3 linked regions of the Danio rerio genome follow. The protein of the gene in region 1 purifies or fractionates together with the protein of each later gene. This does not show direct contact. Links are inferred from orthologs where the notes say so. Each region holds a gene or a part of one and is shown in the gene's direction. Other genes may lie near its edges.

Region 1 (8,310 bases):
TGGAAAAGAAGATTGAGATGTTGATATCTGGTCTTTTAATGAGATCCCAGAGGTTTGTCCCCTATTGAAATGGTGCTTTCCATTCTGGTTTTTTTGAAAACGTCCCTAAATCTTAGCACATGTCTAAATAATGGACATGCATGAGTGGTCTCTACTCATTCTGCAAGAAGAGTGCGAAGGGGGATGATTGTTTGTGATGTTAGTGATTATAGTTTTTCAAGTGTCATTTACAGGAAAGAGTCTTGTACAGTATGTAGGGCTGCATAATAATTTTTGTGCTTTTATTAATTAAGAGAACATTAAATCTTTGGAGGGTTTATTTTACCTCGTCTGTTTTCCAGATTTATTATATTGATCATACATTATACTTTGTCTACATCACAGGTGTCAAGCTCAGTTTCTGGAGGACAGCAGCTCTGCACAGTTTAGTTCCAGCCCTAATTAAACACACCTGATCATACTAATTAAATCCTTCAGGCTTGTTTGAAACCTACAGGTGAGTGTGTTGGAGCAGGGTTGGAACTAAACTCTGCAGGGCAGGTTTGACACCCCCTGGTCTATATTATGAAAACTGGTATAATTTTAAGTAGCCTCCTGCAAAAGCTGATACAGTTTCTAATAGTAATGCCAATAATTCCAAATTATATTCAAGTTTACTTATAATTGTAGCACAAAAATAGATGCATAAGCAAATTTATTTAGAGGATAGTCAAGATTAATGTTTGGATTTATGGCATTAATTACAGATGAACTATCTGCAAAAAGCACCAACGGCTTTGTGAAGTTACAAATACTGACTGTATATCACTGTAATTTGAGCAGAGGACTGCAGTGAAGACTGCTAAACTCTAGTGACCATCATTCATTCAGTTGGAAAGTAAATTCAGTAGGAAAAATTCAGTAGGAAAAGGTAAATAAAACTTGTGCTTATGCTTTTTAAAATCTCAAAGAAAGAAGATATTTTCAGAACAATTAAACAGAAGGTCAAAATTATGATTCTTAATCAAGACAAGCTGAAATACAGATCACAGTTACAGAATAGTTTTTTATATGATCTGTGAAAAGGGGCAATGGTTTGCGATTAATCTGAACATGTTCTTCAGGTCAGCATAGATGCGCTGAGACAGCTGGATTATGATCTGTTTGAGATGTACATCGAGAAGAAGTCTGATCCTATCGTCGGCTCTCTGGAAACCGGGATCTACGCAGGTTATTTTGACTGGAAAGACTGCCTGCTTCCTACAGGTATCGTGTTTTCTGGATGCTGACAGCACTCTGTGGATGTTTCTCGAAGTTTACATTTGCTATTTGAATGTTAAAAGTGCACCACCTTGAAGATGGTACTAATAGAGAAACATCCACACGTTAGCTGTTCTTGATTCTGCAGTTTCAGTGTGTTGTCATTGCTTTTGTGTCAGAGTTTCAGTCGTGGTTGTGTGCCTGTGTGTATATTTAGTTTTTGTGGTGCAGACTTGAATTCTATTGGCTGCTAAATCATTTGGGTATTGCAAGAGCGTTTCCTGCTTCTGAGTTGTTATATGAAGAACTTGGTGATCTGTGCAAAATCAACCATTTTTCTTTCACCACTGCTCATGTTTAGTTCTGATCACTGATCCGTTTGAAAAACATATTTATCTCCGAAATATAAAAATATAATGCACTGGCATGAACTAATGTCACCGCTGTTCATCAGAGTTTTTTAATATGGATGTATTTAACAAGAGATGGTAAATATGTTTATAATTCTACAAATGATGTCTATTTGAGATGATTTTAGTTCTTTTCAAGGTTATACCCTGAACAATGATGTATTACCACAAAAATATTGAGCATCGCACTTGTTTTAAAAATGTTAAATGATAAAAAAATTGGCAAGTATGCAATAAAATAATATTATAGACAGACTGACAGACAGACCCACTGGCCACTTTATTAAGTACACCTTACTAGTACCATGTTGGAGCCCCTTTTGCCTTCAGAACTGCCTTAATCCTTCGTGGCATAGATTCAATAATGTACTTGATATATTCCTCAGAGATTTTGGTCCATTTTGACATGATAGCACCACGCAGTTGCTGCAGTTTTGCCTTCTGCACATCTATGATATGAATCTCCAATTCCATCACATCCCAAAGGTGCTCTATTGGATTGAGATCTGGTGACTGTGAAGGCCATTTGAGTATAGTGAACGTTTTGTCATGTACAAGAAACCAGTGTAAAATGATTCGTGCTTTATGACATTTCGTATTATTCTGCTGGAAGTAGCCATCAGAAGATGAGTAAACTGTGGTCATAAAGGGACGGACATGGTCAGCAACAATACTCAGGTAGGCTGTGGCAGTGACACAATGCTCAATTGGTACTAATGGGTCCAAAGTGTCCCAAGAAAGTATCCTTACACCATTACACCACCAGCCTGAACCGTTGATACAAGGCAGGACGGATCCATGCTTTCATGTTGTTGATGCCAAATTATGACCCTACCATCTAATGCTGCAGCAGAAATCAAGACTCGTTAGGCAACGTTTTTCCAATCTTCTATTGTCCAATTTTGGTGAGCCTGTGCAAATGTAAGTTTCCTGTTCTTAACTGACAGGAGGGGCACCTAGTGTGGTCTTCTGCTGCTGTAGCCCACCTGCCTCAAGGTTGGACGCGTTGTGCATTTAGAGATGCTCTTCTGCATACCTCGGTAGTGACGAGAGGTTATTTAAGTTACTGTTGCCTTTCTATCAGCTCAAACCAGTCTGGCCATTCTCCTCTGACCTCTGGCATCAACAAGGCATTTGAGGCAACAGAACTGCTGCACACTGGATATTTTTCCCTTTTTCTGACAATTCTCTGTAAACCCTAGAGATGGTTGTGCGTGAAAATCCTAGTAGATCTGCAGTTTCTGAAATACTTAGACCAGCCCATCTAGCACCAACAACCATGACATGTTTAAAGAAATTTGTTTTAACAAGCAGTTGGACAGGTGTACATAATGAAGTGGATGGATGGATGGATTGACTTTTTTATGTAAGTGGTGAACGGTACACTTCCACTAAGCCTAGAACTCATCAGCCAGTGTCTTCATTTCTCCAGATCAGTTTATTAATATTGAAATTAAGTAATTAATATACATGAAACATGCACAAACATGAAGCTTCTCTGTATGTCCTAAATGAATTAACTCATTGATCAACCTTTTCCCATTTTTTTTTCTCTCTTTCTGACTCAGGCGTGAGGAGTTATTTGAAGGAGGCTTTGGTCAGCATCATCTCTGTTCATGCTGAGGTGAGAGAACAAACCCTTCTGTAAAAGATGACTTTTTAGACCTTACTCCAGAAAAAAGGCACATGTTCTATTCAAAACTCTAGAGAGCTGTTTACAGCATTTAAAGGATATGCAAACTATGCTTTCTGGAAAATTATTTCATCAGACTTGGCATAAAAAAAGCATATAAATCAACTGTAAATGTACACCACAGTTCAACATTTTTTTTTTAAAAAGTAAAGTTTTGCTCACTAAGCTGCAGAAGTACAAATTAAAATACATTTTTAATTTTAAAATACTCTATTATGTAACTAATTCTTCATTTATTTGTAGCATAGGTCAACATAGATTTTCTGTATTCTTCTGTTTTTGCCCAGGTTTTCACAGTTTCCAAGGAGCTGGTTTCTCGTGTTCTTTCAAAGATCATCGAGGCTGTAGCAGAAGAAATGAGTCGCCTCATGCAGTGTGTGTCTTCTTTTAGTAAAAATGGTGCCTTGCAGGTATGGTAGCATCCTTCACATACACAATAAGCATTTGATCTGAAAATACTAAAATTGACATTACCCTTTTTATATTACTCTCTCGAGGCGCGTCTGGAGATCTGTGCTTTGCGAGATGCTATAGAGCCCTATCTCTCATCAGAGAGCTGGTAAGACATGCGACTGCAATGAGAAATTTAAACAGAAAAGGTGAAAACTGTTAGTATGTTAATGCTCATGATCTTTTCATTTGTGTCTCAGCACTAGTTTTAAGCAGGCATTGGAAGCGCTTCCACAGCTACAGAGTGGAGCTGACAAAAAGTAAGTTACACTTCAGTATAGTTACAAACATGACTGAAACCTTGACACTGATAACACAAAACTATTTAATATTTAATACTAACTGCTATTAGAGATTATTAGAAATGGGGATGATGATTATTAAAACCATTTAATTGTGATAATTTAGGAATGACTTTATTATGCAGATTGGTGCTCTAGAAATCAAAAGTTGAAAATGGTTTTGCTGCTTATTTTTTCTGGAAATTCTCTGATTAAATGTTACTGTATCTTTTGATCAATAAGAGAGTTTACAAGTACAGCATTTGACGTTTTTTTAAACATTATAACCATTATTACTATCAATTTAATGTGTTTTTTCTGAACTCAATCCTCGTGACCTCAAAATTTCAAGTGGTTATGTTTATTTTTAAATAATAACATTTGTGGAGGGGTAGTGAAAATGCAAGGGCAAGTTAAAATGATAACTGTCAGGTTGGCTGGGCCAACACATCTTTACATTTAGCCAAAACTGAAGATTACAAATTACGCTTGATTTTAAACCAGCCAGTAGTGCATCAGTAGAATCAGATCATACGTCTACACAAATCAATTTTGGTTTTATCCTGGAACATTACTTAGAATTGAGTATTTTGTGTTTACCAGAGTGTTTTTTAATATCTCTTTTCTACATGTATCTCTTTCTCTTTTCTCAGACTCTTGGAGGAGCTACTGAATAAGTTTAAGAGCAGTATGAAGCTGCAGCTAAATTGCTTCAAGCCTGCCTCATTTCAGCCTGTAAAGCGATAAACCTTCACAAAGCGCCAACATTTCAATTACTCTTTTGCATTGTAACACTAAGAAACCATTTCAATTTTAAAAACCATTAAAAGCCAATTTAGTGCCACTAAAATAGCTTTTTCCTTTCAGAATAATTAACTTGACCAGTTGTACTGCCTCTTCATTCACCTTAATGATCACAGTTTTGGTTTAAACTAAAATAAATTCATGTATGCTTACACTGAGTGGGTTTTTAATGTACATTAATGTGCAAGAAATGTGCCAGGATTCTGTTTTTGTGTTCGTGTCAAAGGGATAGAAATTTGCAGAGTTTTGCATTTTGTGGATGATACGGTTGAGTTCAGAAATGACTCTTGTCTTCTTTTTTCAAAAGAGTCGTTTCTCTTGAAGTCTATTATGACCACTGATGCATGCACACACCCTGTCTGGTGTCAGATGGAAAGAAACACACCCTGCCACCTTGAGGAAGTGTTTAATGCTGGGAGGTGGCCTTCACTCAAAGAGCACTGGCATGTGGTTTGGGAGTTAAAGAAATAACTGATTAGAACACACGCTAGACACTGAGTTAATATGATTTTTTTATTTAACCTTTATTTTATTATATAGGCTTTTTGTGCTAGTAAACAATCTGTAAAGTTACAAAGCACAAAGTCTTCAAAAAAGGTATTTAACCTCTTCAATAGAAATCACTTACCTGAAGCTTCTTGTTTGTTGCTCTGCCATTATGTAGAGCAGGGGTGTCCAACCCTGTTCCTGGAGATCTACTTTCTTGCAAATTTCAGTTGCAACTCATATCAAATACACCTGCCTGCGATTATCAAGTACTATTCAGATGCTGATTAATTAGTTGAGTTGTGTTTGATCAGGGTTGGAGCTTAACTCTGCAGAAAGGTAGATCTCCAGGAACAGGATTGAACACCCCTGATGAAGTGACTTAGATGATAACATCTTACGCAATTGCATGTTTGAGTCAGATTCATGGGAGACAGTCAAAATATCAAGCATTCTAAAGACCAGAATAAATCAGCCGCTGAAGACCTCATCCAGCATCTCTTGCATGGACAAAGGGTGCACTTGCAAGGCCACTTTAGCATTAGTTGCTTAGTGTGCCTCTGAGGCCTACTGATACAAATCTTTCTTGCTGATCTCTGTTTCACTCAATCCTACTAGGATCATGGCAGCAGTTTAAGCCCTGCGGTTGTACCCGTCTACTCAGAAGGGGATTAGAGTTGGTGTCTTTGGCATGGGAGGCAAACACCACAATCTCTTGAATTAGTTGCTAGAGCACCTCTTAAAGGCCAGTGGAGTGAAGCAAATTCCCTTAAAAGCTAGTCATTTCCCTTGGCGGCCATCTTTGAAACAACTCTCGGGCAGTTTGCTCAGGCATTCTGTCTGAAAGGAAAAACATCAAATTCTACCAAAAATGTTTGCCAAGTGTACGATTACATTGCATGTTTGGAATCACCAATAAAATTAAACAACAACTGTTTCATAAGTTACGTTTCTGAACGTCCGAATCAAACAAGATCTGCATATTTTCAGGTTGCCCTAATGCGCGTGCACACTCAACCTCATTTTGTGGCGTATTGAGTAGTTGCTGTCATGTGATGTGCGTTTGACAGGACAAACTCTACCTTGCGTTTGTCATATAGATTACAAAACCAGAAAAATCTTTCGTTTTCAAGTGCACTTGGTTCATTTAAAAGTACAGATTTCAAGCTCTATGTGGATATATTTCTTATGTCTTTGAAGCAAGTATTCACTGAGATTGCAGTGTTTGCTGACCACCAAATTGCCGTAAAAGCACACGTCTGGTCCTATAGCGATCGGTTATTGGCTCCTGTTCCAGTAGGCAGGGCTTCATTCGCCATATTGACAGTTACACTTTTCCCCATTCAGAACTATATGAGTGACATGTCTTGTGTATTTTATGGTTTTTGAGTGAGGCGTAACTCTGCAGGTCTTAATAGATGGCCTCTGTAACAATCACTCCCATCCGGGTCACGGCACCAATATAACTCCTTTGGTTGCACTTACTCCTCTGTTCTAGCTTGTTTTCACCAATTGTAGATTCTGGATCTGTGCTTTTGAGATTGTGGAATGTCTGATAAGCTGATGATTTGTGGGTATCTCTCTGTGTTTGGGCTGAAAAAAATAATTATCAGGTAAAGCAGAAAAAAAGATGTGTTGCAGCAATGTCCTGAATGCAGTTATTTTCCTGAACTTTAAATCATGTAATCACTACCAAAAATATATTTCTCATATGTATCTGCATTGATTTTAAAAATAACTATGTTTGTGTTGGAATGCATTGGACATCCTGAGAAAATGTGTAAGCTCACACAAACAAAATTTCTTCGAGTTTTCCACTGTTTACAGGCTCACGGCTTTACATTAACACATAAACATGTTTTGGATCATTTTCCGCTGCCTACAGAGCGGAAAGGTGCAATCATTAAAAACTTCCCTTAAGCTGTAGAGCCTGACATCAATACACCCACCTTTTCACCTAGTGCCACGCAGGCTTTGATGCTACTCTGTCAAACAGCTTCCCTTAAATGAGTGGGTGTTAGGCACTCTAAATTTAGAAAGAATAGAAATCAACAAACAAGACACTGACTGTTGGGAAAAGCTGTGTACAGTATCCATCATCTCACTGCACTTTTGCAGGTTTACACAAGTACTGTACTTGTAAGCTGCAATCACAGAGGTAGAGTTATGAAGCTTTTAAGACACCATTCTTCAACTGTCTCCAAGAGATTGTGAAGTTCTCACTTTGAGCTTATTTACAAGTTTGTCGTTCTTTATGGTACACAGCATTGTTAAAAACAGCCAATGAGGTAAACAGGTTGTTTTCATTGAGAATGAAGGAAAAAAAATAAATGCTTCTGTCAGTCTGCCTTTTCCTTTGTGATGTCATCAAATTGAGACTGCCCGCATCATCCTGTCTCTAAAACCACAAACACCATCCTGTGTGTCTCTGCTGTCATTCACATACACACCCTGTCTATAATATCAGCAGAAAACATTCTGCTTCTGTTGAATGTCATTGTGGGCATGATGTCCCCTCAAGTTCATGGGGATTCCAGTGTTTGTAGTGGGGGCTGAAGGTGGTCCCCTCATGCCATTTGGCTAAGCTTAGGTAAGCACAGTTGGCCCACCACTGATGCCACAGTTAGCCCACTAATGATGGAGAGACACGCACGAGTGACGTCCACTGATGTTTGTTCAGACAGAATCCTCTCAACAAAAAGATCATAAAACAATGATTGTTGCAAAAAAAGATGGGAAATAAAAGTTATATTTTGTAGTAGATAAACAACATCACACTAGTCTTTCATAGACATCACTAGTCTCTCACAGGTCCTCACTAGTCTTTCAAAGGTCATCACTAGTCTCTCACAGGTCATCACTAGTCTTTCAAAGGTCATCACTAGTCTCTCACAGGTCATCACTAGTCTCTCACAGGTCCTCACTAGTCTTTCACAGTTCCTCACTA
Region 2 (8,310 bases), on another chromosome or scaffold:
TTGTGGAGCTGTTATTGTGACATGACTCTCTCCATGGGAAGCCTTTATTTACGGGTTTGAGTCTGTCTTTAAAAGCGCCACCCTCCCCTTCACCTCCAGCCATCCCTTCTGCCAATATTTGTTCTCTTTAAGCTCTGTGGCATTCGGCTGGCCGTTGTGAGGGGTCTGTGTTGTGCTTGTCATTGGCACCCCAAATTCTTTCCCAGAGGGTTAGAAGTGCACATAGCTGGTGGATTTTACCTCCCGCCGTCCATCACAGACAAAGCAGCCCTGTTGATCAACAGAGATCCAAGGTCATCTGGTGTATCAGGATGTAATTGTACTTAAAGCTGCAACTTTTTTGCAGCAACAGCTTTTCTAGCATAAAGCTATAGTCGCACTGCACTTTTCACCTATAGACTTCCATTCGTACGCACACGAATGCGGCAGACCGGAAATGCGAGTTTGTGCATCAAGTCTGGTATGTCGCTGCATTCCAAAGTTCAAGCTTGTTGAACCATCGACCATTAGAAGATCAAAACATGAGGGCTCTGTAAATAAATGTAAAATATGGAGCAATCGGTTGCTTTGTCGAAGTCTAATCGTCTTGCCTCTTTTCACAACATAATCTTTATTTTGTATTTTCTATTGGATTCAGGTCAGGTGATTGGCTGGGCCATTCTATTCACTTTATTCTTCTCCGATGAGCGGGCGCTGCCATTTGAATCTTTTTGGCTTGAGACTTCCGGTCTCATTCACTTCCATTCATTTTTTGACGTTAAAAACTGCTCATGCAAACATTTGTTTGTAGAGCAAGTAATTTGACCGTTTTGCTGCTGTTTATTATTCGTAGTCATTTCCCCCATAGGCGACTGAATCTGAAGTTCTAAGACAATCGTGAAAACAGGCGCACTTCCGCATTTTAGAATAAGGTCAATAGCTTGATTTTCTTTTTCTGAAAGCATTTGAGAGATTCCTTGGCTGTTTTTTGGATCATTGTCTTACTGAAATGTCCATTCTTATTTGATCTTCGCCATCCTGGTATTGTGGATGTTGGACTGAAGCCGCTAATATTACTTTACGCTGATGAAGGACAGAGGTTTGCTGAAGAACTACTGAGAGATTTCAGCTGCTGTCTGGGCTTTCACTGCCTTTCTACACTTCCCTTTCTTTATGTGTTCAATATTTTGCTTTGTCATTTTATTACACATAACTTCATTTGTAAACTAATTAGATTTGTTTTCCTTTCATATATGGATTTCTTTGGTTGTTACCAACATCAGGTGAAAATTTCAAGTCAGCAGCATCTCTAGAAATGTTTTCTGAGGAAAATGGTGACGTGTTGATTACTGTTGCTTTTTAACATTATTTGCAATGTTTTAGGTGAATTGGATGTCATATATCAAGTAGTGTTTTATCTTAATAACTTTTTAAAATTATATCTTTTTTTTGTTTTTCAGCATTTGATTTGCTCTTATTTTAAGAGAGATTATTTTAGGTTAAAGATTATTTTCATCTTTAAACTACGTGATGGGATTTGTCGCTTTATTATTTTTGCTTTTTTTGCACAACCCATAAGGTTTTCATATTATGTTTAAAGTTATATTCTAATTATTTTCTAGTTTCAGGAAAATAATGTTACAAACACATACAGAGAATAAGCAATGCATGCAATAGAATGACAGTAATGGGGAAAAATATATAATAAAGGAGTTTAAAAAGTAACAAGCAATATAAAAATAAGAATAAAATATGCAAATGAACAATGTATGTACAGGTGTATTAAAATAGACAATATATATATATATATATGAATAAGAAATATCACATGTGTAGCAGTGCGATATGGCTTTATATCGGCACTGGTTGGAGGCGTGCCTTAGTGTCCCACCAGTGCTGATATACAGCTATATTGCACTGCTATCCGGTGATTTTGCATTTATACAACAGTTTGACGGCATTGTTGTGTATATAAAAAAGAAAATCAAACACAGAGAGTCCCAAAAACCTTTTTGTGCAAGGAACTACTTCCTTCCGCCATTCATTGACATCTGCAGCTGACGGCAGAACAGCCGAAATCATTACCATGAAATGACTCTGCTGTGTTGTAACTGTAATGTCTGGTCAACTATAATTCCAAGTACATTGCAGATCTCTGCGACTATGTTACTATTGCAGACTTCGATGCTGAAACGATATATTGCGCTAACCAAGAATGACTTCAAATGATTTTAATTAATATATTATTATTGATTTTATTATTGACATATTACAATACTTGTCCAAGATTTAAAATTCATTCACCTGTGTTTTCTATTTATGTATGCTTTCTTATTGCATTATGGGACCTTGATCTGTAAACTTTTTGATTATTTAAAATTAAACTCTACTGTTAACAAAGTGACTTTTATAACCACTTATAATAGTGTGAATTTATATTATATTAATATTACATTCATATACTAGTGTGTGTCATATAATAGAGTGCCTTATTGCCCCCCACCAGTTCCGAGCCATATATCGCACCGCAACGAGTATGATATTGCATTTATACAACAGTTCAAAGACATAATCGTGTAAATAAAATAGAAAATCAAATCTTTTGTATGAGGAACTACTGTCTTCTGCCATTCATTTACATCTGCAGCTGACGTCAGAACAGCAGAAGCTGTTGATCCTTCATAAACGTCACTTTAAAGCTAGTATTTGAATGATTCTCTAGTGTAATATCTAAAGGGATGACAAAACAGGTGGTTTTGCTCACATTTTAAGATTATAAGGCTGAACGGCAAAAAATGCCATCAGTCTAGAGACATTTCCCACTAGTTCTCTGTTGCAATTGAGAAATAATTAACCCCGACAAAGCCAGAGCAAAACAAAGACTACCAGAAACACCACCAGACTATAGTATAACTACAGCACTACAACATACAAGAGAGAGATTGACTTAGGATGTCACTTATCTGTTTAATAATGAATTGATCAGCTGTAGTTTCAAACTACGCTGAGTTTTTCTCCTCTTAGGGCTTATTATGCGGTCTCTGTCGCCATCTTCCGGCGGAACGTCAGCCGTCTTTGCTCTGCTCAGTATGACAGTCTGATAAATGCCGACGCTCTGTATCTCTGAAGTTATAAATATTTAAAATAGGCACTTTCCTTATAAATAAACTGCAATATAAACAATTACATTCTCACATAAAAGCCCTAAAACTACTTTATGTTGTCCAACAGCTGCAATGTCTGTCAAACTGTAATGAATATTGATCTGCTGTCACTCTATGTGGGCGGAGTAATACAGAAGGAGGCTGTACGAGTGCTGTTATTGTAGAATATGGCCTGACCATCAGCCAATCGGATTCGAGAGCCAGACACAATAGTTGCTTTATCTATAACACAGATCTTTCATATTTCCCTTTTCCGCCATTGCTGATTCTTTAGCCAATGCTGGCCCAAACATTTCCACAGACAGCAGGCCAAACGATGAAACCTCTTTTGCTTTGAACGGTATGAGGACTGAGGAGACCCACATGAGGCAGTCAGAACACTTATTAATTGATCCAACAGTCTTTTCTCCTCCTGTGCCTCTCTAATCAATGCAAACGACTGGAGATTTCACACTCCTCTCTAATGGTTTCTTTGTTATTTAAGCAAGCGATAATGAGCGACCTCTGCGCCTCTTCATGGAGCATTTTCCACCTGATCACTCCCCCTAATCAACACCTCATGCTGAGACACACGCTCTCCAACCGCAAAATCAACACCAGCCAGCGGTGTCCTGTAAACACTCACACCTTACAAGCAAGCTGGACAACAGTAGGGCTACGGCAGTGCTAATGAGTGCAGACAGCAGGCATACTATACTCAGTACACTCCATGACATAATTTACTTACCTTGACTCTAGGGCTGATTATAAGATTATGCATGGGCTGCTATAAGATTCTGACATTATAATAACTTTGGATAAAAATTTTACAGTTTCACAGTATTGAGATTACTGCTCTAAAGTACATTTTTTATTTTTATTTTAGTTTGAAATACCTTGAAAAAAATACTTAATGGAAACAGCAAGTATCCCATTTTTTTAATCCCATTTGATTACTTTGATTTTTGGATGGAAACCGCAATTTTTTCCTCCTGGTATATATATATATATATATATATATATATATATATATATATATATATATATATATATATATATTATCAGAAAATATATTTTTATTATTATTATTATTATTATTATTATAGTTTACATTTTTTTGTCTCACTACATGGAAATACTTCTTTATTTGCAAATGTTTTATTCGATATTGAAGTTTCGTGCGAAAGCTAATTTCCCCCTGGTTATATATTATCAGGAAGTGTCATTTTTATTATTGTTTTTTTTTTTGTATTGTATTGTTTTTTTGTTTTTTTTTTTGTTTTTGTTTTGTGGTCTCACCTGATGGAAACACTACTTTATTCGCAAATGTTTTTGTGATATTCTAGTTCTGTGCATAAGTATATTTTGCATTTTTGGATGGGAATAGCTATTTTCCCCCTGGTTATGTATATAAATTAATTATATTTTTAAAATTATTTGATTATTATTATTATTTTGTCTGGTTGGAAATGGTATCTTATTCGCAAATGTTTTATGTAAAATTTGTTTTATTTTTATTTTTTTAATTAATATTTAATTAATTTTTTTGTGTCTCACTGGATGGAAATGGTGCTTTATTTGCAAATGTTTTATGAGATGTTTAAGTTTTGTGCGAAAACTATTTTCCCCCTGGTTATATATTATCAGGAAGTGTCATTTTTATTATGGTTTTATTTATTTATTTTTGAAATTTTTCTTTTTTTTGTCTCACCTGATGGCAACACTACTTTATTCGCAAATGTTTTTGTGATATTCCAGTTCTTTGCATAAGTATATTTAGCATTTTTAGATGGGAACAGCTATTTTCCCCCTGGTTTTCCCCCTAGTTATGTATATAAATTATTTTTATTTTTTTATTATTTTATTATTATTAGTAATATTTTGTCTCACTGGATGGTAATGGTATCTTATCCGCAAATGTTTTATGTGAAATTTCAGTTTTATAATTTTTTAATTAATATTTAATTAATATTTTTGTGTCTCACTGGATGGAAATGGTGCTTTATTCAAAAAAAATTTATGTGATATTTTAGTTTTGTGCATAATCCTACTTTGCATTTTTGAATGCAAACATAGCTATTTTCCACCTGATTATATATGATCAGGAAGTGGCGATTTCATTTTTATTTATTTTTTATTTTTGTTTCACTGGATGGAAACACTACTTTATTCACAAACGTTTTATGTGATATTTCAGTTTTGTGCATAAGTCTACTTTGCATTTTTGGATGGAACCATAGCATTTTCCGCCCTGGTTATATATTACCATGACTTAAAAAAATCATAATAAGCTTTACGAAACTATGCCTTGACTGAACATATTTGTTTTTTTATTTTTGTTTCAGCTCAACCGAGATCGACGACATGCTCCGTAAATCCACCAACCTGCTGTTGACGAGGACCTTGAGCAGCTGCTTACAAAACCTCATCAAAAAACCACACATTGGATTAACAGAGGTAGTATTGATGCGAAGACTTGCCTCATTCTGCCTGTTGAAGCCCAGTTTGAAAATGACACACCTTTTTTTATGTTTGCAGCTTGTTCAAATCATCATCAACACCACCCACTTAGAGCACGCATGTAAATACCTGGAGGATTTTATCACGAACATCACCAATGTTTCCCCGGAAACGGTTCACACCACAAGACTTTACGGGCTTTCCACCTTCAAGGTAAAAAGTCATTCACAGACATGTTCTTTAATTACGGTCGTATTGCCGCAATTCTGCCATGGGCTCACTGTGATCAGAGGTCTGCCGTCTGGAGTGGTGTGTTGTATTCAGAGAAAACTGTCATCGACTCCAGGGACAGCAGCCGCCTCAGGCCTCATGAACTCCATCAAGAGCTTGTTTTGATTCCAGGGTGTTAAATGTGTCTAAACGGCGGTGTTTTCCGATGACCTACTTTTTTGAGTCATTAAACGCGCAGCAGCTTGTTCCTATTGCTTAAGTTTGATTATAAAGAGTTACATAAGAATTTTCACATTTCGTTGTTTTACATTGAATACATATATATACAGTTGAAGTCAGAATTATTAGCCCACCTGTTTAATTTTTTCCCTCAATTTCTGTTTCACGGAGAGTAGCTTTTTTCAACACATTTCTAAGCATAATAGTTTTAATAACTCATTTCTAATAACTGATTTCTTATATCTTTGCCATGATGACAGTAAATAATATTTTACTAGATATTTTTCAAGACACTTCTATACTGCTTAAAGTGACATTTGAAGGCTTAGCTGGGTTAATTACGTTAACTAGGCAGGTTAGGGTAATTAGCCTGTAATAAGTTATTGTATTACGATGTTTTTTTTCTGTAGACTAATTATTTTGACTTTAAAATGGCTTTTAAAAAATTGAAAACTAGCTGAAATAAATCAAATAAGACTTTCTCCAGATGTAAAAATATTATCAGGCATACTGTGAAAATTTCCTTGCTCTGTTAAACATCATTTGGGAAATATTTAAAAATGAAAAAAAAAATTCAAAGTGGGGCTAATAATTCTGACTTCAACTGTATGTATATATATATATGTGTGTGTGTGTGTGTGTGTGTGTGTGTGTGTGTGTGTGTGTGTGTGTGTGTACATGTTTTTGTGACATATCAGAACACAAATCTGTATAATGACATGGGTATGACACAGGTATTACAAAAAGGAGGTGAAATATGAGGACATTAGTGACGTCCTCATTTCTCAAAATGCTTATAAATTCTACAGAATGAGTTTAATCAGAGAGTAAAGCTGTCCACTGTCTCCTGTGATGGTTGGGTTTAGGGGTGGGGTGGGATGAGGGCAATATAATATACGGTTTGGACAGTATAAAATTAATAGAAACACATGTAATGTCCTCACTTTTCACAAAAACAAACATGTGTGTGTGTATACACAGTGTTGGGGATAACGCAAGTTCTGTAATAATATTACTTTTCTAAGAGTAAAAGTACATTTTGGATTAATTAATACGCTTTTAAAAATAATTTGCTGTATTAAAATTTGTGTAATCATGTTAAATCACACTCAATCAGAAAATGAGATCCCCACGAGAACAGACAGAAAACAAGATGGCAGAGCCTTACATTTCTGTGATGGAAATATTCTGGTCATTTTGAACACATGGAAGAAAAGGGGATTAAAGTCTCAATGGACAGTGATTTTACTGAACTAATAAGACAAAAATGCAAAAGTAGCAAACACATTGCTTTCAGTAACCTGACAAGTTATTTTATTAGTTTTTAATTTAGGTAAATGAAGGTGTAGGTTATACAGTGTGTCATTAAATGCAGCTCCTCAAGCAGGTATAAAAAAAATGTAACTCAAAAGTAGCATTTCCATAAACTTTCCATAAAAAGTAGATATATGTGTATATTTAGAGTTCAAGACAAGGTATTTTGATGGTCCATTTGTGTAGTAGTAGACTGTTTACTTAATTTCTGTTGATACTGACATTTAACTGACTATAAGAAACTTTGCGAGTACATGTCAACTTACACTAAACCAAGTTTAACCCTAACCCCAACCTAACAGTCTACTCATAATCTAATGAGAATTAGTTGGCATGTAGATACAATATAACCTAAATTCAAAAGCGGACCATCAAAATAAAGTGTGACCCGAGGCAAATTTATTAGTTCTTCTGTGAAAGTTTAAATCTTAACAAAGCAAGGAAATTTTGACAGTGTTTGCTGTTATAGTTATTTCCTTTAGTTTGGCTGGAATAAAAGCAGTTTTCAATGGAAAGTTGCGGGATGCTCTTGGTCTAATTCAATTCATTGATTTATGCTAAGCTAAGCTAACATAAAAGTGCTCCCGCCAGACCTGGGCTATGTCCGAAATCGCGTACTACTCAGTATGTACTACATTTGAATTAGAATTTTATTATTCGAACATTAGAAAAGTACCTCCTATACAGTATGAATGTGAGTAGTATGAATGGAACTTCATACTACATCCACCATTTTGTCTTGATCACTCGACGGAATTCTCTGGTGTGGCATCATATGATAGGGTAGCGTGCATCGGATGCACACTCCAGAATCTAGCCAGAAGTAGTAGGTCATCCAGGTACTTCTCGCATAATGATTTTCAAATTCTTTGAATTCGGACATACTACTCGGCTCGCATACTATTTTTAGCGTACTATGCTATTTCAGACATGGCACTAGAGAACAGCTGAATAGATTCAACCT
Region 3 (8,310 bases), on another chromosome or scaffold:
ACCTTTATAAGTTTTGCGTAAAGTAAGTACACAGCTGCACACTTGTTTATCTATATTTGAATTTAAAAGTTGTAATATTTTGTTGTTGTTGTGGTTTTAAGTAAATAAAATAAAAAACTTTGTTAATTAGCATGTGCAGTTAAAGTGCTGTTCAACAATGCAGGAAACATTTTCACAGTTTTTCCTATTGTGTTTTGTTTTTCCCCCAAAAAGTCGTGTTTCTTTTAGTTTGGCTGGATTAATATATATATATATATATATATATATATATATATATATATATATATATATATATATATATATGTGTGTGTGTGTGTGTGTGTGTGTGTGTGTGTGTGTGTGTGTGTGTGTGTGTGTGTGTGTGTGTGTGTGTATGTATGTATGTATGTGTGTGTGTGTATGTATATATATATATATATATATATATATATATATATATATATATATATATATTAATCCAGCTAAGGATCAATATTAACTAACAGCTAACATCTAAGGTCAATATTATTAGCCTCCTTAATATTTTAATTGTTTTGATTGGCAACAGAACAAACCATTGATGTCCAATGACTTGCCTAATTAACCTAGTTTCTAATTTACTTTAAACTGAATGCTAGTATCTTGCAATAAACTAGTAGAATATTATGTCACTGTCATCATGATTTAAAAGCCTTTTCTTCTTTCCATTTTATAGCACTTGGTAATTTTTTTAACATTCGTGTGTGTGTGTGTGTGTATCTCAGGGAAAGATGATGTGCTGGACATCGAGATCGACTCCTACATCCACTGCATCAGTGCGTTTGTGAAGCTGGCTCAGAGTGAATACGCTTTACTGACCGAGATCATTCCTGAACACCACCAGAAGAAAACCTTCGACTCGCTCATTCAGGTCAGGGCTGTGTGAGTGCTAATAACCCTTGAATTTGAACCTAGTATTCTCTCAAGGTATGGAAAAAATGCAGGGGGGTTGTGAGGGGGTGGGGTATACATTTATAATCTATAAATCCTGCATTTGTCCTGACGTGAGTTTGAACGTGTCTGTCATTATTTAATAACACATAGTAAACAATCTGCATCTCTCATTTTCAAAATAAAAGTCCCACATACATAGTAAGTTGAAAATAAACCTACAAAGAACTAAGGGAGGAAAGAGATCATTGTTGTCTCACTAGGAAATGTTGTGGCTTATCAAACGTGTATTAATGATCCCAACATATCAGTCTGTGTTTTGGCTAGTGATCTCCTGATGACGTTTGAACATGACTTAAAGTACATGCAGATGATGCAGGCGTGGCCCGTGAGTCACGCAGCAGTCTGCCTTGTGTTTTGATTGTCAATCGGGATTGTACACTCATGCAATTTACACAAGAATGAGAAAACAACAGTGTCTGAGGCTCACAGTATGGCCTTTTCCATATACTGTCTTATATCTCTTGTTATTCGACTTATTATTTTACCCCTGATTTTCTTTATAGGGAGAAATGTCAGTTTTAATGACATTTAGGAGAGTCAATGACAGTAATTCAGGGGTTTTCAAAGTGTGAGGCGCGCCTCCCCTGGGGGGCGCCAAAGCATGTCAGGGGAGGCGCAGGAAAAAATATAATATAATAAAAATATAATTATTAAGTTTAATTATTATATGTATTTTTTATTATATTTAAACGTTTATTATATGCCTGCTAATACATTGGGTCGGTTTCTGAGACCCACCCCGATTCAAAACTGTAATGAAGTTCACGGCCCTTTGGCCGCCGGGAAGGAGGCGGAGAACCGAAGCAGTTTTAAAGTGACAGTGACGGCAGCTCCATCTAAACCAAAACAAACGGACGGCAGATCCTCACGGAGACTGCCGTCAAACTGAAAGCAAAAGTAAAATATGTTTGGGTCCGGTCCTCTCTCGGCTTCCTCTGCCCTTGTTCCTCCTTTTATGATCCAGAGCTCCTTCCGTGGGATCTGAGGCAGGTGCGCACCGCAGGTGGATCCACTTACGCGGTGGCCTCACTCCGTTCCCACGGCGCTCGGCCACGCCCCCTCGCCACAAAAGCCTTCAAGTTCAGGGCTTAAACCCAAAAGACAACGATATGATGATCAGTATTTGAGTTTAGGATTTACGTGGACAGGACCAGCTGAGGAACCACGACCTTTATGTGTGGTTTGTCAAAATATTTTGGCAATGACAGCATGAGACCCGCTAAACTTCCACTGTTTTGACTGGGACGGACAGTTCTTGGAACTGTTCTATTCATATTGAACCATCATCCTAGTTTTAAAAACGTTATATTAAAATGCTTGTTATTACTCTGTAAATAATTGCACTTTCATGCAAATGATGATAAAAGTGAGTTAACAGTCTGACATCTGTCTGTGTCTTTATATATATATATGCGTGCGTGCGTGTTTGGGAGGAGGGGGGCGCCAATGGATAAGTTGTGTCAAAAGGGAGGCCCACTGTCTTAGACTTTGAAAAACCCTGCAGTAATTTAATACACTTGGGGCAAATATGTGGTTGACATTTTTCCTTAGATTACCATACTGTGCTACAGAATACTAAAACAAAAATCATCTGGTATATCATAGCATGTATATGTATGCAAATATCTAATTTGCTTACATATTATTTAAATGTATAATTTTAAATGTAAAAAAATGTGTAATTACACCCAGAAAGTGCTTAAAAAGTGCTTAAATGTGACCATTCGTGAGTGGACCTGCATGTGTGTTGACTCCCAGCGTTGTGTGTTTGCAGGAAGCGCTGGATAATTTAATGCTGGAAGGTGATAATATCGTGTCTGCTGCGCGTCGAGCCATCATGAGACACGATTACTCCGCCGTTCTGACCATCTTCCCCATCTTACGGCATCTCAAACAGACCAAACCAGACTTCGATGCCACACTGCAGGGAACAGCGGCGAGCACCAAAAACAAGCTGCCGGCGCTCATCACCTCTATGGAGACTATTGGAGCGAAAGCACTGGAAGAGTTTGCTGACAGCATTAAGGTTCATTTTACATCTATATTTTTATATTTAATTGTATTTATGTTGTTTGTTAGTAAAATATTTATATTTGTGAATCTTTAATTAATCATTTGTAGTTAAATAAATATTCAAAATGTTTTATTTTGTTTAAATTATTAAAAACAATAATATGTATTATTATTATTAATCATTTAATTCTTCATTATTAATTATTTAAAACAGTTATTTTTACTTATTTTAAAATGTATATTAATATAATACAATAAATAATATAATTTTTGTCTAAGTAGTTTGTTGTTAGTGCTTATATTAATGTTATTATTGTTATTTTGTATTTACTTTCTCCAACATTTTTATTTATTATAAAATTATTACTCATGTATTTTAATAATATTCTGAATAATAATATTTAAAATAATTCTTCATTATTGTGTATTTATAACAATTATTGTTTTTTGTTAATTAATTATTGTTTATTATTTTATTTTACTTATTTAAAAAATGCATATTAATATAATACAACAAATAATATAGTTAATGTATTTTGATAGTCTCTTATTAGTAAATATATTATTATTAATATGTTGTATTTGTTTTCTTTAATAATACTATTTATCATATTATTTTAAATAATGCATTTTAATAATAATTAGAATAATAATATTAAGAATAATACTTAATTATTGTGTATTTAAAACCATTATTATTAATAATTTAATAGTGCATATCAATATAATACAACAAATAATATAATAATTGTATTTAAGTAGTCTGTTATTAGTATTTATATTCATATTAATAATATTTTGTTATATTGTATTTATTTTCTTTAATAATACTATTTATTATGTTGTTGATACATTTAATAATGTTTAAAATAATATTAATAATAATAATTATTATTATTTAATATTTTAATTAAATAAAAATTTAATGCAATAGAATGAATGTAATAATAATTTAAGAATTTATTATTTAATTTTTCTTTTATTATTTAAAAATATATATATTATCTATTCAAGTATATTGTTCATCCATGTGTGTAAAAATATGTATTATAAAAGATTAAAATCAAGATTAAGATCAAAATATAGTCATTTTGTTAAATTAAACAGTTTTGGCCCCTTCCTAAAATGAAATATCACTTGCCCCCTTCTGATCTTCAACCTTTAGTATCAAATTTTAATTTTCATTAATTTGTTCATTTGCTTTTCGGCTTAGTCTCTTTATTATTCAGAGGCCGCCAACTTATCCAGCATATGTTTTATGCAGCGGATGGCCTTCCATCTGCAACCCATCACTGTAAAACACCAATACACTATCATTCACACACATACACTACAGAGAATTTAGGTTACCCAACTCACCTATAGCGCATGTTTCTGGACTGTGGGGAAAACAGGAACACCCTGAGGAAACCCACACCACACACAGGGAGAACATGCAAACTCCACACAGAAATGCCAACTGACCCAGCCGAGGCTCAAACCAGCGACCTTCTTGCTACCCCCCCCCCATCCCCCCCCCATATATTAATTTATAATTTTATATAGGTTTATAAGTCTAATTATATACTTTCATAATGACAATAATTATTCCATATACAGTTGAAGTCAGAATTATAAGCCCCCCTGAATTATTAGCTTCCCTGTTTATTTTTTCCCCAATTTCTGTTTAACAGAGAAATGATTTCTTCAACACATTTCTAATCATAATAATTTTAATAACTCATTTCTAATAATTGAGTTATTTTATCTTTGTCATGATGACAGTAAATAATATTAGACTAGATATTCTTCAAGACACTTCTATACAGCTTAAAGTGACACTTAAAGGCTTAACTAGGGTAATTAGGGTAACTAGGCAGGTTAGAGTAATTAGGCAAGTTATTGTATAACGATGGTTTATTCTGTAGACTACTGGATAAAAAATTTGTTTAAAGGGGCTAATAATTTTGTCCTAAAAATGGTGTTTAAAAAATTAAAAACTGCTTTTATTCTAGCTGAAATAAAACAAATAAGACTTTCTCTAGAAGAAAAAATATTATCAGACATACTGTGAACATTTCCTTGCTCTGTTCAACATCATTTGGGAAATATTTAAAAAAGAAAATAAAATTCAAAGGCGTTCTAATAATTCTGACTTTAACTGTATATTGATTATGTTTTTCTCTCCGACAGAATGATCCGGATAAAGAGTACAACATGCCGAAAGATGGAACTGTGCATGAGCTGACCAGCAATGTAAGATCTCTTCATTGTCCATTTCATGCAGTAAACGTACTCAAAGTGGTGTTTTATTATAAATAAATGTCTTCTCCTAATGTATTTTGTCAGGCAATCCTGTTTCTGCAGCAGCTGCTGGATTTCCAGGAAACAGCAGGAGCGATGCTGGCGTCTCAGGGTAAAACACAGACTACAGAAAAACAGACATTACATACAGTTGAAGTCACAATTATTAGCCCTCCTGTATGTTTTGTCCCCAATTTCTGTTTAACGAAAAGCAGATTTTTAAAACACATTTCTAATCATACTAATTTTAATAACTCATCTCTAATAACTGATTTATTTGATCTTTGCCATGATGACAGTAAATAATATTAGACTAGATATTCTTCAAGACACTTCTATACAGCTTAAAGAGACATTTAAAGGATTCACTGGGTTAATTAGGGTAAAATTAGGGTAATTAGCCAAGTCATTGTATAACAGGGGTTTACTCTCTAAACCAGCCCTGCTGAAAAATCTAGGTTAAACCAGCCTAGTCTGGTTGGCTGGTTTTAGCTGGTCGACCAGGCTGGTTTTAGAGGGGTTTTGGCCACTTCCAGGCTGGTTTCCAGCCATTTCCAGCCTGGTCTTAGCTGGTCAGGCAAACCAGCTTGACCAGCCTAGCCAAGCTGGGAGTCCAGCCAAAACCAGCTATGTCCAGCTTAAACCAAGCTGGTTTTAGCTGGATTTGGCTGGTAATTTTCCAGCCTGACCAACTAAGACCAGGCTGGAAATGGCTGGAAACCAGCCTGGTAATGGCCAAAATCCCTCTAAAACCAGCCTGGTCGACCAGCTAAAACCAGCCAACCAGCCTAGGCTGGTTTAAGCAAGATTTTTCAGCAGAGAGGGGTGGCCAATCCTGTTCCTGGAGATCTACCTTCCTGCAGATTTCAGTTGCAACCCTTATCAAACACACCTGTCTATAATTATCAAGCGGATTTCGGGTCCTAATTAATTGGTTCAGGTGGGTTTGATCAGGGTAGGAGCTAAACTGTACAGGAAGGTAGATCTCCAGGAACAGGATTGAGCACCCCTGCTCTAAACCATCCAAAACAAATATAGCGTAAAGGGGCTAATAATATTGACCTTAAAATGTTTTTAAAAAATTAAAAACTGCTTTTATTCTAGCCAAAATAAAACAAATAAGACTTTCTCCAGAAGAAAAAATATTATAGGAAATACTGTGAAAAAATCCTGAATCTGTTCAACATCCTTTGGGAAATATTTGACAAAGAAAGAACAAAATCACATAACAGGAGTGAATAATTTTGACTTCGGCTGCAAATATTCTTGGCTTATTAATGACACATTATACAGTTGAAGACCAGATCTAAGCTGTATACTGGACTGCTGAAATGTCTGTTCTTATTGCATTAATGTTCATAACACACAGGCTACTGTCCTCATCCTTCTGTCTCCTTATTTGTCATCTTTTCACATTTCCTGCAGTCTGCATTTCTTTTTTCCTTTTGTTTTTTGTATTTTTTTTCTCAAGGTGATATTCTGGAATTATGTTATAAAAATCATATTCAGCTATTTTCCCCTCGACCTTCACTTTCCATCCTGCATATAATAACAGTTTAGTCTCTAATTGGCAATAAACTGCTCAAAGAAAAATAGAGGACGCACATTTCTTTATATTCTTGCTTAATACTTTGTTCATTACACTATACTGTGAACATTAAAATAAATACCAAATAGCATTTGACTGAAATCAGAAATTGCGGTCTACTTTTACTCGTATTACGCCCCAAGTCTAGGGGAAAACAACATGGGCATAATAAACGAAGAAAACAAATGTGTTTGGGTGGTGGATTTCCCAATCAAAACAAAAACTTAATGCAAAAGATTTCCTTCGGTCGACAACCAAACTCAGACACTCAGTTGAGAGTATATAAATATATTTATTATAGAAAAATTTAGTAAATATATATGAGCATCTCTTCAGGGTGGCCACAGGCCAAAATAACAAACAACAGAATGTATAAAGTAAATGCACTACATTACCTAATTATATATATTTTTTTAAATACAGGAAGCTTACCTTTCTCCCTAAACATAAACAAAGTCAAAAGTAATCAAATAAATAGGCAGGCCACCCCTACACGCTCAAACTCTCCAAATTAGGTAAACGTATGAATAATGGTACAAAATTGATTGTTGGTCGTTGGCCGGAGGGCTAAGGGAAATCCAAGAGCTCCACTCCCAGCACCGAACGCAGCACAAATGAGTTCCCCTAACCCTGCCGGAGGCTCCTTTTTATACAGGCCTCCGAGACCAGCAGCCAATCAGAACACGGGATCACACCGGTAGAGGAGCCTATAGGATAACAGAAAAACAACACGAAGGCGGGACAAAAAAAAAAGACATGCAATTCGCAATAATAAATAAATAAACTTCAGTCGTAACACTCGATTAATACTTCTTGTTCTATTTTTTATTAATCGATTATTTTAAAATGTACATTAATATAATAGAACTTAATACAGTACTGTTGTATTATAATAATGAAATAATATAATATAAATGATTTGCTATATTTTAGTCTGTTATTAGAACTTTTGTTAGAATTATTTTATATTGTGTTTGTTTTATTTGATAATATTAATAATAATAGTCTTGTTTCTGTCCAAATATCTAAAAATTCTTAAATTAAGAAGCATTTTCTAGACGGGCAAAAAGTATTGTCTTGTTTTAAGAACTAATATGTCAAAAGTAAATGAGTTTTTTCTTAAAACAAGCAAAATAATCTGCTAATTGAATGATTTTGTTAGTATATTAGCTAAAATCCTGAAGCATGAAATAAAAAAGAATCACTTTTGGGTTTGCAATGCAAATTCAATTAGATCCACGTGTTTGGCAACAAAGCAAGTCTCTCATTTACTAAAATACAGAAAATATTACTTTACAAATGGTATTGTAAAGAAATCATATAAACATTTGCATGTTAGTTAGTTAATAATTGTGCTAAAATTAATATAAAAACTAAATAAATACATATTTACACACATTTACACACATCAAGTAAATAAATAAACTATAATGTGTGTGCAAATTCCACGTGGG

Evidence for each region.
Region 2: the proteins of exoc2 (region 1) and exoc6 purify together in Homo sapiens (affinity purification with mass spectrometry; 5 studies listed by BioGRID and IntAct, counting the BioPlex papers as one, with this or other methods). This does not show direct contact. The link is inferred for Danio rerio from reciprocal best matches to the Homo sapiens genes EXOC2 and EXOC6.
Region 3: the proteins of exoc2 (region 1) and exoc7 fractionate together in Homo sapiens (co-fractionation; 4 studies listed by BioGRID, with this or other methods). This does not show direct contact. The link is inferred for Danio rerio from reciprocal best matches to the Homo sapiens genes EXOC2 and EXOC7.

Annotation. Positions count from the first base shown.
Region 1 is NC_133195.1:29,285,051-29,293,360, reverse strand, and holds the end of exoc2 (exocyst complex component 2), read left to right. Parts: intron 1-1,103; coding exon 1,104-1,245; intron 1,246-3,217; coding exon 3,218-3,273; intron 3,274-3,629; coding exon 3,630-3,752; intron 3,753-3,839; coding exon 3,840-3,901; intron 3,902-3,992; coding exon 3,993-4,052; intron 4,053-4,726; coding exon 4,727-4,820; 3' UTR 4,821-5,029; downstream 5,030-8,310. UniProt on the Homo sapiens protein: Component of the exocyst complex involved in the docking of exocytic vesicles with fusion sites on the plasma membrane.
Region 2 is NC_133187.1:9,564,132-9,572,441, reverse strand, and holds part of exoc6 (exocyst complex component 6), read left to right. Parts: intron 1-5,467; coding exon 5,468-5,579; intron 5,580-5,660; coding exon 5,661-5,795; intron 5,796-8,310. UniProt on the Homo sapiens protein: Component of the exocyst complex involved in the docking of exocytic vesicles with fusion sites on the plasma membrane.
Region 3 is NC_133187.1:48,881,258-48,889,567, forward strand, and holds part of exoc7 (exocyst complex component 7), read left to right. Parts: intron 1-743; coding exon 744-889; intron 890-2,746; coding exon 2,747-2,998; intron 2,999-5,157; coding exon 5,158-5,220; intron 5,221-5,313; coding exon 5,314-5,380; intron 5,381-8,310. UniProt on the Homo sapiens protein: Component of the exocyst complex involved in the docking of exocytic vesicles with fusion sites on the plasma membrane.